3 linked regions of the Drosophila melanogaster genome follow. The protein of the gene in region 1 purifies or fractionates together with the protein of each later gene. This does not show direct contact. Each region holds a gene or a part of one and is shown in the gene's direction. Other genes may lie near its edges.

What was found. The genes of interacting proteins can lie anywhere in the genome.
Region 2: the proteins of Dim1 (region 1) and Tep4 purify together in Drosophila melanogaster (affinity purification with mass spectrometry, with the first as the bait; one large-scale study listed by BioGRID). This does not show direct contact.
Region 3: the proteins of Dim1 (region 1) and CG7271 purify together in Drosophila melanogaster (affinity purification with mass spectrometry, with the first as the bait; one large-scale study listed by BioGRID). This does not show direct contact.

The regions. Positions count from the first base shown.
Region 1 is NT_033779.5:4,401,507-4,404,596, forward strand, and holds Dim1 (Dim1), read left to right. Parts: upstream 1-1,744; 5' UTR 1,745-1,830; coding exon 1,831-1,908; intron 1,909-2,007; coding exon 2,008-2,358; 3' UTR 2,359-2,449; downstream 2,450-3,090. Other genes in the region: CG33003 (uncharacterized protein), read left to right, coding at 1-262, 360-1,585.
Region 2 is NT_033779.5:19,548,165-19,555,942, forward strand, and holds the start of Tep4 (Thioester-containing protein 4), read left to right. Parts: upstream 1-1,528; 5' UTR 1,529-1,681; coding exon 1,682-1,764; intron 1,765-3,517; coding exon 3,518-4,249; intron 4,250-4,308; coding exon 4,309-4,735; intron 4,736-4,791; coding exon 4,792-5,129; intron 5,130-5,197; coding exon 5,198-5,751; intron 5,752-5,805; coding exon 5,806-7,778.
Region 3 is NT_037436.4:18,587,130-18,590,915, forward strand, and holds CG7271 (uncharacterized protein), read left to right. Parts: upstream 1-1,629; 5' UTR 1,630-1,729; coding exon 1,730-3,013; 3' UTR 3,014-3,036; downstream 3,037-3,786.

The DNA.
Region 1 (3,090 bases):
AAAGTCGATGATCCTGCTCCAGTATCCGAGGAGCAAACAGAGCCAGTCGTACAAGGAGCCTCCACAGGACGCGCCGTGGACTACAGGACAGCGTATCCCTTTGGCCAACTGATAACTCCGTTGCTGCGAGGCGGCAAGCCGCAGCAGTACAACTCCCGACCAACGAAGACACGTATTTACCCGCAAGGTATACCATCCTACTACTCTTCATCATCACAAAATCCATCCCGCTATCAAGCTTCGAGGCCCAGCTATAAGAAAGGTATCATCATCGCATCAATAGAGCATACAAATCAAAACAGTTCTTAAATTCTCTAACAAATATTTTTATACATACTTATCTTTGTATTTAACCTAAGGAATCGCCGATCGTTTTGCTCCTGGCGAGGGAACCGCCGCTGGTCTGTTCAAGGGACACAATCATGATCACAGTCACGACCACAGTCACGATCATTCCCATGGACAGGATGGCAAGGTGGCCGCCGGCTCCAATTCGGTGAACTCCTATGTTTCTCCAGGCGATACGTACTCCTTTCCGCCGTTGAACACAAAGTATCCATCACCGTCACAGGATCCCAAGGCTGCATTGCCATCGGATACCGTGACCAGTTACCTGCCACCCGCATCTGGAGGGCTGAGCAACGCTGGATACATATATCCGGGGCCTTCTTCCAATGGTTACAAATATCCCGGTCCAGTGCCCAATAGCAATGCCGACAAGGATACGGCGGCCAGTATGGCGAGTGCTTCCCCGCCGGCTGATGATGACCCCGGTAATGATGATTCCATCGGAACCCTGCCAGCTAGTGCACAGGACAACATTCCTTCCAAGGATCAGGACAGTATGAGCGGTCCTGCTCCTGCAGATGGCATGGATATGGGATCTCCTGCTGATGGTGGAGATGGGGGTGGCGGTGGCGGCGGAGATGGGGACATCGGCGGTCTGCCATCTCTGCACAATGATGGTTCAGGTCCCGACGACGATCACAAATATGATCCCAATATGGAGTATGCCACACCACCGCCCGGTTGGCTGCAATCTCACCCAGAATCTGCGGCTCCCAAGCCGGATGATCACGATCACGACCATGCACCCGATCATGATCACGTGCATGATCACCACCACGATCACTATCCGACTCACTTCGACTACCAGCCCTCGTATCCGGATGATTCCTATCCGGATGTCATTTACGATGATCATCCACACCACCATCACCATGTCCACCACCCACCGCCTCCTCCTCCACCGCCACCACCACCACCGCCACCGCCACCGCCGACGGAACCACCACCACCTCCTCCGCCGCCACCAGAGCCACGTGTGAAGAAGTACAGCTACTTCTACATTGGCCGCAAGCTCTGGTACATCCCGCTCTACTTTACGGTGTGGTTCAGCTTCTACATCCTGTGGCTGATCATCAAGTCCATCGGTCGCCACAAAGTGAACCTACCCAATCACTACGTCTCGCGACGCAGTGCTCCCGATCCATTTACCGAGCAGGGACGGGACGAGTATATCAACGAGATGACGGTCAGGGTGCTGGAACACATAGATAGCTTTAAGCAGAAATACTTGAACTGATAAGGACGCTACTAATTACTAAATGCCTATTAAAAACTTAATTATAAACCGAACGTTCTTGCACTGCGTTTTATTGGGAAACACATTTTAAATTTCGATAGCCACATGGTTCCGTTTCCGCTGACAGCTGTCATCGATATGTAATCGATAAGGTTATGCTATCATTGTTAGTACATCACTATTTTGTGAGACTTTGTTTATGTTTTAATTTTTCTGCGGTAACTTGAAATAAAAAACGCGCCAGGATGTCGTATATGCTCCCTCATTTGCACAATGGCTGGCAGGTGGACCAGGCCATTCTCTCCGAGGAGGACCGAGTAGTTGTGAGTAATCGCAGTCGGTTTAAGAAGACACTGCTTCGTGGAGCACCACTTGGTCAATCACCCATCAGACATAAATAATCAGAATTGTTTCCCCTTCAGGTAATACGTTTCGGTCACGATTGGGACCCCGCCTGCATGAAAATGGATGAGGTCATGTACAGCATCGCCGAGAAGGTGAAGAACTTTGCTGTCATCTATTTGGTGGACATTACCGAGGTGCCGGACTTCAACAAGATGTACGAGTTGTACGATCCTTGCACGGTGATGTTCTTCTTCCGCAACAAGCACATCATGATCGATTTGGGCACGGGCAACAACAACAAGATCAACTGGCCACTGGAGGACAAGCAGGAGATGATCGACATTGTGGAAACGGTGTATCGAGGTGCCCGTAAGGGCCGTGGTCTGGTAGTCTCGCCCAAGGACTACTCTACCAAGTACAGATACTAAGGTGGGTCGCGTACCCCGCCGACTTAGTTTAATGTATCCCATTTAGGCGTAACAAATTGATGATCCCAAATAGAAGCGACTGTCTCTTGGCAACTTGTGTATATGTATTTTCTTCTGGTTTATTTTTCACTTGTCACATTTCTCATTAATATCGCTAACATGTACATCAATTTCTTGGTTTTTCATATATAACATTTAACTAAGTTTGTTCTTTAATAGCTCATACTTTTAAAAATTTTAATCCGTTCTTTAAAGTAAACTTTCATTAATAATTCTTGTATTTGCGCGTTAGTAGTACACATATTCGTTTTAATTTCGAATTGCTTTCATTTACCAATTTGATCAATTATGCTTTGAGTTTAGCTAGAGGTACATATAGACATCAATCGAGCTTATAAACATTATGGAAATTAGGTCGGACTATGGAAAGGGGGGCGTTAGTACAAAAGTATAAAAGAAAACATCGCAACGAAACATTCGCGGGAAAAGGAAAGAAGTCTTTTCTAGTAAAAACACTAAGTACTCGTATTCGAAGTTCACAAATTGAATGGCCTACGCATTGGTGCCGATATCCAAACTTTGTCTTCAACATTGTTATTGTTCATTTAATACAACAGCTCAGTTTTATTACAGATTTATTATGCTTAGGTTTAACAATTGGTTCCGCTACTCTTTGACTTACACAAGTTAGGTTTGCTCATTGGTTTCATTAAATATAGGTATGTATATTTA
Region 2 (7,778 bases), about 15 Mb from region 1:
TAATCATGAAATTACAGCGTTTTAAAGCTAATTCCTTTCCTAGATTGCAGCGTATTCATATCACCCAATATCACTACTTATAGATTACACGGAACCGAACCGCACGAGAGAAAGAACAAACGGGGAATCACCAAGAGAAACGCAGTTGAGCGAATATCTCTTATATATTGGCATTACTCATCGCTACATTATATACCCGTTTCATTTGCAAGGCAGTGTGAAATACAGCCAAGTGACGTCATCATTCGGCAAATCAAGAGAGCGACATCTAACAAAACAACAACAGCTGACTCAGAGAGAGCAGGAAAGAGTTTTCGATATATATGTACACAACGCCTAGTCAGTTGGTCTCCGTATTTCGATTTAGGAGGCAGTTCCGTTAACACTGCAAATCAACAAGTCCAAATAATATTGCACGCACGTCATTTGCCACACGACAAAAACATAAATATTTGTATTCAATTCATATATTGGGATTTTACGCGAGATCTTCGCAAAAAATCATTTGGGCTTTTCCAAAAACCAGATAATGTACGTAAATTATTTAAAAGGAAAATCTATATTTCAAATCATTGCGAAACACGAAGCGACAGTTATTGGTGACAATTAAAGTGTTAATTATCGAAAAACCCCACACGAAATATGAATAAGTTGTTATAATTTGACTATTGCATGACGATAGTTCTGTGACAAATAACTGAAATATCACTCATGGGCAATCAGTAATACCAACTTTCTGTTCTTCTATACAGTCACGCCTATTTGTTCGCCCTTTATTCGTAATATTCATATAATATATTCATTTCTAAAAATGGTGAAATTCGAAACATTAATTTTTTGCAATTTTTTAGCAGTAAATCCCTATTTCCCATTTATTAGTCCAATTATGATTGAAACTGGCCCGAGTGAATACTCGAATCAATATTTGAAAATATGATGAAAATAGAAACATTCATCTTTGGTGTTTTTGAACAGTAAATTCCCATAAATCCATCCTGTATTGTATTCTTTTGAACAGTATGTTCCCCTAACTTCCTTCTAAAATCAAATTACGAATGATTTTTAAGCTGAAATTGGTCCAAGTGAATACTCACAAATGTAATATTTGTAAATATGATAATTAGAAATAATCATCTTTGATCCCTTTGACCAGTAAATTCCCATAAATTCCTTCTTAAATCAAATTACGAATGATATTTCAGCGGCAACTAGCCCAAGTGAATACTCACGAATGAATATTGATATTGGAGTGCCGGCGTTTTTTGTGGCCATGTTATTATTGTTAAGGTTTTGTTTGCCCAACTCGCGTCATCGATTTCAGTGGGCGCACCACATACACCGCCACACACACACACACACACACACACACCACAACAACACACACTCTGCCAGTTTTATTTACTTATAATTTTTATCAGTTTTTTTTTTTACGACTTGCTCGCCCCACTGGAGCTCGGCTTCGTCTGCCGGGCCTGGGGTTTTAGAGTCGCTCGGTATTATAACAAATCCGTGGGCCATCGAACCGAACCAGTCCCAGCTCGGCTCTGATCCCAGTCGGTCGCAGTCGCTCAGTCGCTAACCAAACTTCCGCCAGCATCGATCCCGCGCATTATAGCCTTATAATATCTGTGCTCTTATTTCCCATCCTTTTTGCCCTCATTTGACCACCAATCCAATCAAAATGCGTCGCGCAGACGCTTTTGCTGTCTCGCTTTGTGTGATTTTGGCCTTGCTGCAGACGATGGAACCGGTAAAAGCCGAGGGGTAAGTCCATATACCACAAATACTATACTATATGATCGGATCGATTTTAAAACACATCTACGGTTAGAGTATTAGTAGAGTCGGGTTAGGAATTCGCAAAAATATAGGCGATAATCAAAGCCAGATATCTAAAACTATAGTTCTTTACAAAGCTGGCCTATAAAACGTATTGTTCTTACTTCGGTTATTCGGTTGATAATTTGAATAAAAACTGATGGCTAAAAATTTTAACCATTTCCCTAATACGCTAGTGGTTGGATTCCCGTCTCACTCGAACACTTAAACACAGATTACTGCAATCCAAACTATATTATCTATGTTTATTACTTATTACCACTATTATATTCACAGTCACTGTATGGCTGTCGTCGAATATTTCAATTAATTAGGTATGCATATATGTATACAGATAGGGCCGTTTTTAATGAACATCAAGGTAATTAAGCTGTTATTTATACGCAAAATCACCTATTAGCTTAATTGTTTATACCATCTGGTTTGTCCTTGGATTTATAGGAGAGTTTTTTTACGGTTTTTACAAATCACTAACCTAATAACATTTTGCTCTACATTTTTCAAATAGTAATTTAACTTTTAGATATATAATTATGTATATAGCAAATGTTAAACATCGTTCCTTATCACACCTATAAGATTAAACACTAGACTTCTGTCCACGTAGTGACGATGAGCACCTAAAAGGGTGAATTTGGGGAAATTCAATAAAATTGAAAATCTGGTACGATAGTCCGATCACAACTATTCACTCACTTCAAAAATATTCAGAATTTCTTTTTTAAAGAGGTTTAGTTACTCCGAACTAATATCTGGTATTTAATTTTTGAGTTGAAGGTGCCATCGCCACTTTAATCTCACCTTGTTGAGGGGTGTTTTATTTTCTTCATTTTTGTTGAGCTCAACTTATGATGCTAATTGAGTTTCACTGTAAGCCATTTTGAATATGGATTTTTATATTTTTTACTCAAACAAGAGGATCACGTCACATACTTTGTTTGCCTCAATGGTTTCGCTGATCAATCTTTCACACGATCTTAAATCTGTACTTTTTCCTGTCCCGCCAATTATTAGTAATTAGAAACGAATATGAAGGTGGGTTATGGAACACACTTAAAAATGTCATAAACTTGAAGTCTAACATAAAAGGCTGGAACAAATCTAATCCAAAAAAGTTAATGATGTTCAGGCTAACAATATTGGTGTACGTGATCGGGGACTGTAAGTGCGAGAAAGATTGCTAATCGCAAAAGCTGGAATTATGTAATCTCTAAGCCGGTTTCATACTTTTCAGTAGAAGATCAGGTTCTGGGAATATTATCCGTTATATATATATATACATATATATTTCATCATTTGCTGTCACAGATCAAAAAAACCATAACTCAAAAACCTAAACCGAATCTTAGACTGCCTTTTAAAGATTGGGAACATTATCAAGTCGAGGTTAATGGTTTTAAGTTTCATTTCTGTGTTTCCCTAGAGATTAGACAATATACATTTATTTTTGAATTCTTAGAGCATGGTCAAGAATTTGATATTGATAATTTGAATATTGATAGCTATAGTTACTATCAAGAAATACAATACTATATATTATACAAATACAATACTACAAATATTTCCAAGTGGATATGTGTATGTTTTTTTCTCTTCTTGGAATTTTTTATGGCCGAATTGTTATTTGATTTTATTTTGTTTTTCATGACAATAATGTTGATGTTTTCTTTGCTTCCAGCAAGTACACCATTGTGGGTCCCGGAACCATCCACTCCCACCGTGACTACAATGTGGCCGTGGCTGTCCATCAGACCAAGGAGCCAGTCACCCTGAAAGTGGGCATCACTGGACCCTCCTACAACAAAACTGAGACCGTGGAACTAGCCACTGCCGGTGAGTTCAAGCAGATCACCTTCAAACTGCCCCCATTGGAGGCGGGTGAATATAATCTGACGGCGGAGGGCGTCAAGGGACTGGAGTTCAAGAACTCCACCAAGCTGAACTGGGAGAATTTCAAGCCATACATTAAAATCCAGACCGATAAGGGAAAGTACAAGCCCGGTGATACTATCAACTATCGTGTGATCTTCCTGGACGAGAACCTGCGGCCGGATACCGCTAAGGATGAAGTGGTGGTTTGGTTTGAGGACTCCAAAAGGAACCGCATCAAGCAGGAGAAACACATAAAGACCACCGGTGGCGTCTACACTGGCAAATTCGAGCTCTCCGAGTTCGCCACATTGGGCTCCTGGTCCCTTCATGTTCAGAATGGAGATCAGCACCACGACGGAGGTATTTACTTTGGGGGTCGTAAACAATTTGGAGGATTTGGTCATCGCTGGCATCGCTCGGATGAGCTCGTCAACTTTGAGGTGGAGAAGTACGTGCTGCCCAAGTACTCCGTCAAAATGGATGCCACGCAGCAGGTTTCAGTGCGAGATGGCGAGTTCAATGTCGTCCTGAAGGCCAAGTAAGTATTACCGGAAGTTTTATGCTTTAGGACATTCTTATATCAGCATTATCCCCCAGCTACACCTATGGTAAGCCCGTGAATGGTAAAGTTCTTGTCAATGTCCATCTGGACTCGACGAGCAGTTGGGAGAATGTGGACGGCAAGACAGTGCAAACGGACTACCCCGGACATTCTGTTGTTGGCACCGCCGACATGGTCGGAGGCAAGGCCAAGTTGACCATGGATCTCAAGGACTTCGCCAGTTATCTGCCGCACAAGACCTCTTCTTCATATGCCCAGATTACGGCTACCGTGGAGGAAGACTTCACCGGCGTGAAGCTCAATGAAACAGGCGGTGTGCAGCTGTACCCCTATCGGTATGAGATGTCCTGCACTGACTACTCCAGTTGCTTCTCCTTCAAGCCCGACAAGGAACATGAACTTAACTTCAAGATTACATATGTCGACGGCTCACTAATTACAGACACCAAGTCTGTTGTGAAGGTGGGTTAGAAATCTTAAGAGATCTGTCACTACTTATAAATTCGTTTTAACTCTAGGCCAAGTTCACTGAAGGAATTCGACGCAATTATGCTTTCTATGCCTTTGGAACAGATCATCAAGAACCGGAATTGCCAACGATTGAGAAGAAAACGTTTGTGTTTGAAAGCCATTTGAATGCGTCTGGTGTGGCGCCTTTCAAGGTGGTTCTTCCCGATTTGCCGGATATCGCCAACTTTACTCGTTACTATAGCATTGAGCTGGAGTTCGTCGATGAAAAACGAGATCTGTACACCACTTATCCCTACAGGGAACCAAAACAGATTGAAAATCCTAGCTCTGAAGAGGAAAAGGAGTGGTTCAGGGCAGAAGTTCAGAGGCCCAAGGACGTCTGGAAGTGAGTACAGTTGAGTTGAGCAAGGGTTCCACGATTTTAAATAACCATATACAATACTTCTATTGCAGCCTCAAGATCGGGCAGGAGTATCAAGTAATCCTCAACTCCAGTCGTCCGCTCAAATACTTTGTGTACAACATTGTGGGACGTGGAAACATATTGGAAACGAAACGTGTGGACCTCGCGGAACCCCAAACGACCGTCAACGTAACCATTAAGCCCACTTTCCTCACTACTCCCTATGGTCGGGTGTACTTCTACTACGTGGATGAGACAGGAGAGTTCCGATATACCGAGGAAACATTCAGTGTGGAGGTCGAGCTGCAGAACCAGATCGAAATCAAGGCTCCCGCGGAAGTTAAACCGGGTGCCGACGTTGCACTGGAGATCAAGACGTCGCCAAAGTCATTCGTTGGATTGTTGGCCGTCGATCAGAGTGTCCTTCTGCTGGGCAGCAACAACGATTTGAACAAGGAATCCTTCAACTGGCGCCTAAATGGCTATGACACCTCAACTCCCTGGCAGGGTGGATACTCCTACTACCCCGGAGAGCGAACTGGAGTCGTGACTATGACCAATGCCTATTTCTTCTATAATCGCACCGCCCCAGACTACAATATTCGTACGTATAAATTTGTCATAATAATAAACCACATTAATTTGCAATTATTGGAAGTTACAGAAGGATTTGGTGGAAGCTCTTTCGCCATGAGAAAGACTACAGTGGCACATGATAGTCATGTATTCCATTCCGGTGCTGGCGGACCAACTCAGGCCGTGGGATTCTCCGCCGAAAGTGCGTCTGCATCTGCAGCACCAGTAGTGCGAAAGAATTTCGCAGAGACCTGGATCTTTGCCGATATCGAGAGCACCGAGGAGGAGGTGTTCAAGTGGGTAAAGACCATACCCGATACGATCACCAACTGGGTGGTCACCGGCTTTTCACTGCATCCCCAGAAGGGATTAGGTGTCACCAATGATCAGACAAATATCAAGACATTCCAGCCGTTCTTTGTCTCCGTTCGATTGCCATACTCCGTGAAGCGAGGTGAGGTGATCAATGTACCGGCACTGGTCTTTAACTACCTGCCCAAGACACTGGACGTGGAACTGACCCTGGACAACGAGGATCAAGAGTATGACTTCGTGGATGCCTCGAATGAGGTTATTGGTGACCAGAAGCGTACGCAGAACATCAGAGTGGGCGCCAACGAAGCGGCAGGAGCCTCATTTTTGATCCGACCCAAGGTCATTGGAAATATTTTGCTGAAATTCAAGGCCATCTCACCGCTGGCCGGAGATGCTATACACAAGCCGCTAAAGGTAGTGCCCGAAGGAATTACCCAGTACCAGAACAGGGCATTCTTTATCAATCTTAAGGATACGGGTGAGTTTAAGAACACCTTCGAGCTGGAAGTGCCGGAGGATGTGGTCCCCGACTCCGAGCGTGTGGAATTCGGATTGGTGGGTGATCTCTTGGGACCAGTGGTCAAGAACCTTGAGAACCTGTTGCGATTGCCCAGCGGTTGCGGTGAGCAGACCATGTCCAAATTGGTGCCCAACTATCTGGTGAGGGATTATCTGAAGAGCATCAAGAAACTCACACCTGCATTGGACACTCGCATCAAGAGGAATCTGCAGGACGGATACCAACATATGTTGCACTATCGCCACGACGACGGCAGCTTCAGTTCCTTTGGGCCCACCAAATGGAGGCAGGAGGATCCAGTGCGCAATGGTTCCACCTGGCTGACGGCCTATGTGCTGCGCTCGTTTAGCAAGATCAAGGATATAATTGACTTGGATGAGCAGATCCTGGCCAAGGGCTACGAATTCCTGTTAACTCGACAGGCAGAAAATGGTAGCTTCACGGAACACGGAGAGTATTTCTATAGCTCCCAGCGATCTCTATTGACATTGACCGCAAATTCCTTGCTCGCCCTGCTGGAGGAGGAGAAACCGAACCAGGCTGCCATTGACAAGGCGGTTGCCTATCTGAGCGCCAATACTGCCGAGTCCATTGAGCTCCTGCCCAAATCCATTGCCATTTATGCCCTGCAAAAGGCCAAGGCGCCGGAAGCTGCCAAGCAGGTGGCCAGTCTTAAGTCCCTGGCCAAACACGAGGACGATCGCACCTGGTGGACCGAGGATCTGGATAAGCTGCGTGCCTCCAAGAACTGCGGACGCTGGTGGTGTTGGATCTGGAGTCAGGATGTGGAGATCACATCATATGCGCTGCTTTCCCTTCTGGATTCAGACCAGGAGACAGCCGACTCTGTTCTGAACACCGTTCGCTGGTTGATCGCCCAGCGTAATGGCTTCGGAGGATTTGCCTCCAGCCAGGACACGGTTGTCGGCCTCACCGCCCTCATTAAGTTCGCTGAGAAGTCGGGCTACGAGGCGGCCAAGTGGGAGGTGACCGTTTCCAACAAGGGAAAGCGTGAAAAGACCGAGAAGCTCAACACATCGGAGGAAAATGACCTGCTCCTCCAGACAGTCGAGTTCCCACAGGGCACCAAGTCGCTGGAGTTTGAAGCCAAGGGAACTGGAGCTGCTATGGTCCAGATAAGCTACCAATACAACTTGGTGGAGAAGGAGCCGAAGCCGAGCTTTAAGATTCAGACCACCGTTTTGCCGGAATCGTCGCCA
Region 3 (3,786 bases), on another chromosome or scaffold:
AAAGAAAACCTTTTGACAAAAGTACACCTTTTTTTAACTCCAAAAACTAGTGTATAATGAAAGAAATCAACACATAAAAACGAATTATTATTATTTATGGAAGTATGTAATTTGTTGTTCGATTCTATAGCATTTCCTTTTTCGAATTTTTAACCCAAACATTTGTTTTCTGTATTTCCTGGTACTTTAATAGCATAATTTTCGAAAATTCAAAATTATAATTGGACCCCGTAAACTTTATATTTTGGTCTTTTAACCTTAAAATTGTTGTTTTCTGAATTCCCTGGAGTCCAATTTTCATTAAATGCAATCCAGTAGTAGAAGAGCATTAAAAACAAATTAGTTTCAAAGAAAACTAATTGCCATTTACTCAGTGATATTTGAGCAAAATAACTACATTAACTAAAAAAGAGATCTGAAGAATTCATAGTATTTATTTGTAATACAATTGGCATTCAAAATTTTAGCTTCCATTGACATTATTCTCTGTTGATTGAAATAAAACAGAGGTTTCCATGATTATCAGTCATTAATATAACTCTATATATGCATTACAAATTCAGAGCAATGAAAGCTAGATAAACGACCAGGGAGAAAGTAAAACTCGGTTAAATAATTATTGTCCACTGTCCACTTGAAGCACCTTCTAATTGCCATTCTTAATTTGCAAGCATATTTCACTGGGAGGCGGCTTTAAATAGCACTGAGTGCGGAAAACTCTGGGAGGTGAAAACCACACCCGAAACCGAAACCAAAACCTAAGCCAAGGCGGACAATGAAGCGTGAAAAGCGGAAACGGAAATTAAGCGACTGCAGTGCAACTGGCTCCAGAGTCCAGATCCTGTAGATCCAGGACATCGCCGTCGCCATTGTCGCGTCACTTGCCACGAGGTGGCCATTGTCCAGTGTCCTCTTTCTCCACTGGCCATTGTGCACTTGGTTTTACAGCGGAGACAACGGCCACGATGCCATGGCTCAAAACGGTGGCAGTGGGAGGCTCCACCGTACGGTGCGCCCTGCGTTTGACTGCTGCAAATTGCACGCGGTGGTGGCGCCGTTTGTTTACTCTCTCTCTCTCTGTCTGTTGGTTGATCTTTTTGCCTTTGGTCACTTTAGTGAGTTGAATGGGCTTTTTTTTTAGAAGCAGCTTTAACTAGTTAAAATTAATGAATAGGGACAAATGCATATATAGAGAGAACTAAATTGAAAGGCACGAAGCTTGACCTATGTTGGTTGTTTAAAATGGGTAAGTTTGACATATTCTTATTCGTATATTTCTAGGGCAATAGGACTGGGCTCTATATTTCTTTGTAAGTAGCTAATAATTACAGCATTTGCAGCATATGTCACTGCCATAAATGGCTTTAATGAACTCAGCTTGTATTATGAGATTTGAAGGAATCGCACCTGGAATTGCCTGGTTTTGAAATGTTGCTGCAATAACGAAAAAATATGAAATTCCCTAATCACTCTATAAACTTCATAAAAGTTCTTAAAGAACCATAAATATATTAGGTAAATCCTTAAGCAGATGTTATCTACCAAGGGATATACCTGCGTCAGGTAAACTCGCAGACTACCTGTTACCTCCATCTTCAATTTGCCTATAAGCCAGGTCGACGAAGAGAAGGGTATCAGTCAGCAACTGAACCTTGTCATAGACACATCTCAGTGCTTCAGAGCTATATCCACCTTCAGTTTTCGAATCCAAAGTTTCCATATCTCAATCATGTTCGACGAGCCCATATCCAGCTTCGTTTTTACCGACGAAGAGACCACGCAGACATTCCACCACCAGTGGTTTTCCCAGGGCCAGTTACACGAATGTGCCACCTGCTACAGCTCCATCGACGCAGATGAGCCGCCCTCCCAGCATTGGCTGCGGGGAGGAGAAGCATCACAGGGCTTGCATCTTACCAAGCAACAGCAGGCCGTTATGGATATTATCGAGGCCCGCCAGATCGAGACTTTCTTTTTCTGCGACGAGAGTTCCAAGGACAAGCTGGAACACTTCATGGGCGAGACCTGTGCGAGGGGAATCCCCGAGCTTCTCCGCTGGATGTTCCAGAACAACACCGTGGCCGTGGAGTTCAATTTGGCCTGCTACGTGAACGCCATGGACCAGGTGTTGATCTTTCAGAGCGGCTCGCTGAGGGTGGACCACCACTACGACGTAGACGAATCCGTGGGCGTGGTCTACGAGATGCTTATGCAGAGGATCGAAAACTACCTCAACTGCAGCAGCGAGTACGGCATGGCAGAGTGCAGCATCACCAGATTGAAAGTACAGGTGAAGAGGATTAGGGTGGAGGCGGACGGTCAGTCAGCGGACTCGTCCGTCTTCGCCCTACCCCTGCAGCTTCAGGAGGAGGAGGGCCTGACCGCCACTACCGGCTGCTCCACCAGCGAGGCAGAGCTTGCCAGTCTGCGCTCCGCCTACCTGAAGCACTTCCGCGAGTGCAACGGCAACTTCCCGCCCAACATGCGCGTCAATCTCTACGGACTGCAGCAGTGCAAGACCACCAAGGAGCTGTATGTGGTGCCCTATCATATCAGCGAAACCCTCCAGCAGCTGCCCAACAAGAACTTCCTCATCCTGAACAATATCATGGGCCAATTCCAGCGGCTCCACGAGCTCTCCACCCCCGTCAATTCCATCGAAAGGGATCAGACCAGCTCGCCGCTAAAGGACCTCCACTGCCGGAGGTGTCGCACCCAGTTCTCGCGACGCAGCAAACTGCACATCCACCAGAAGCTGCGCTGTGGCCAGGACTTCTCCGTGGACAGCATGCACGCGGACATCGTGGAGATCTACGAGCAGTGCCTGCCCATCTCGAGAAGCGTCTTCCAGCACGCCTGCTACGGCATCACCAAGCCCAAGACCATGATGCGGAAGGGTCAGTTTGTGCCCATCGAGTGCGACTGGCGCAGCGAGAGCTCCGTGAAGGTGCAGCACGGCCCGTGTGTCGTCATCAGCAACGCCCAGCACAATAGTCCTTTTAAATTTTATTAAATAAACGATAACTTTTAAGCACCTACATAATATTTATATTTTACCGACTGCGGGTCAGACAATGGGACCGACTACGGGACTATGGGTATCAAAATGTAGATACATTTTATTCTAAATAGCTATTCTCGTGGACGCGACTGTCGGGACCCACAGTGAGTCGCATGCATCACAGCATCTGCATGCTTTATGCCATTGTCTTTGTCAATATTGTTGTTTCGTGGCACTGCAATATAGGCTTAATAGTACCTTTTTGTGGTCAAAAAGCCCTATTTCAAAAGTCCGTAATACAAAGTTTTGATTACGCCCTTAGGTTAGTAGTAGATAAGACTTTAGTGTTGCGTACCAGAAATTTAAAAAAATCCAGCACGGTTAAGATACATGTTTTTATTAAACAAGTGATAGGGATCGAAAGAACTGGCTTGTACTATGTGTTTGTGATTTTGAATTGTTGAATTTCTTGTGTCTTTCCCTGTAGTTGAGTGTTGTAAATTGCACTTTTAGGAGTATTAGCTGAAACAATAATTAATGTTTAACTAGAGACTTAAACATGAACTTTTTTTTTTTTTTTAATTCGGGTCCCACGGCTACACCTCCCGTCCAACCGACCGAGGGGCGCTGCCGTGTATCGTACGGCTCGATTCGCGAGAAGATATAGACGCGATATAAAAAAGAGAACAGGAACGAGGAAATGAATAAAATGTAAAATTACTATATTAAATATTACTGTTAGTAGGATCTAATTATGTAATAAAAAAGGTAAAATCGATTGCTTT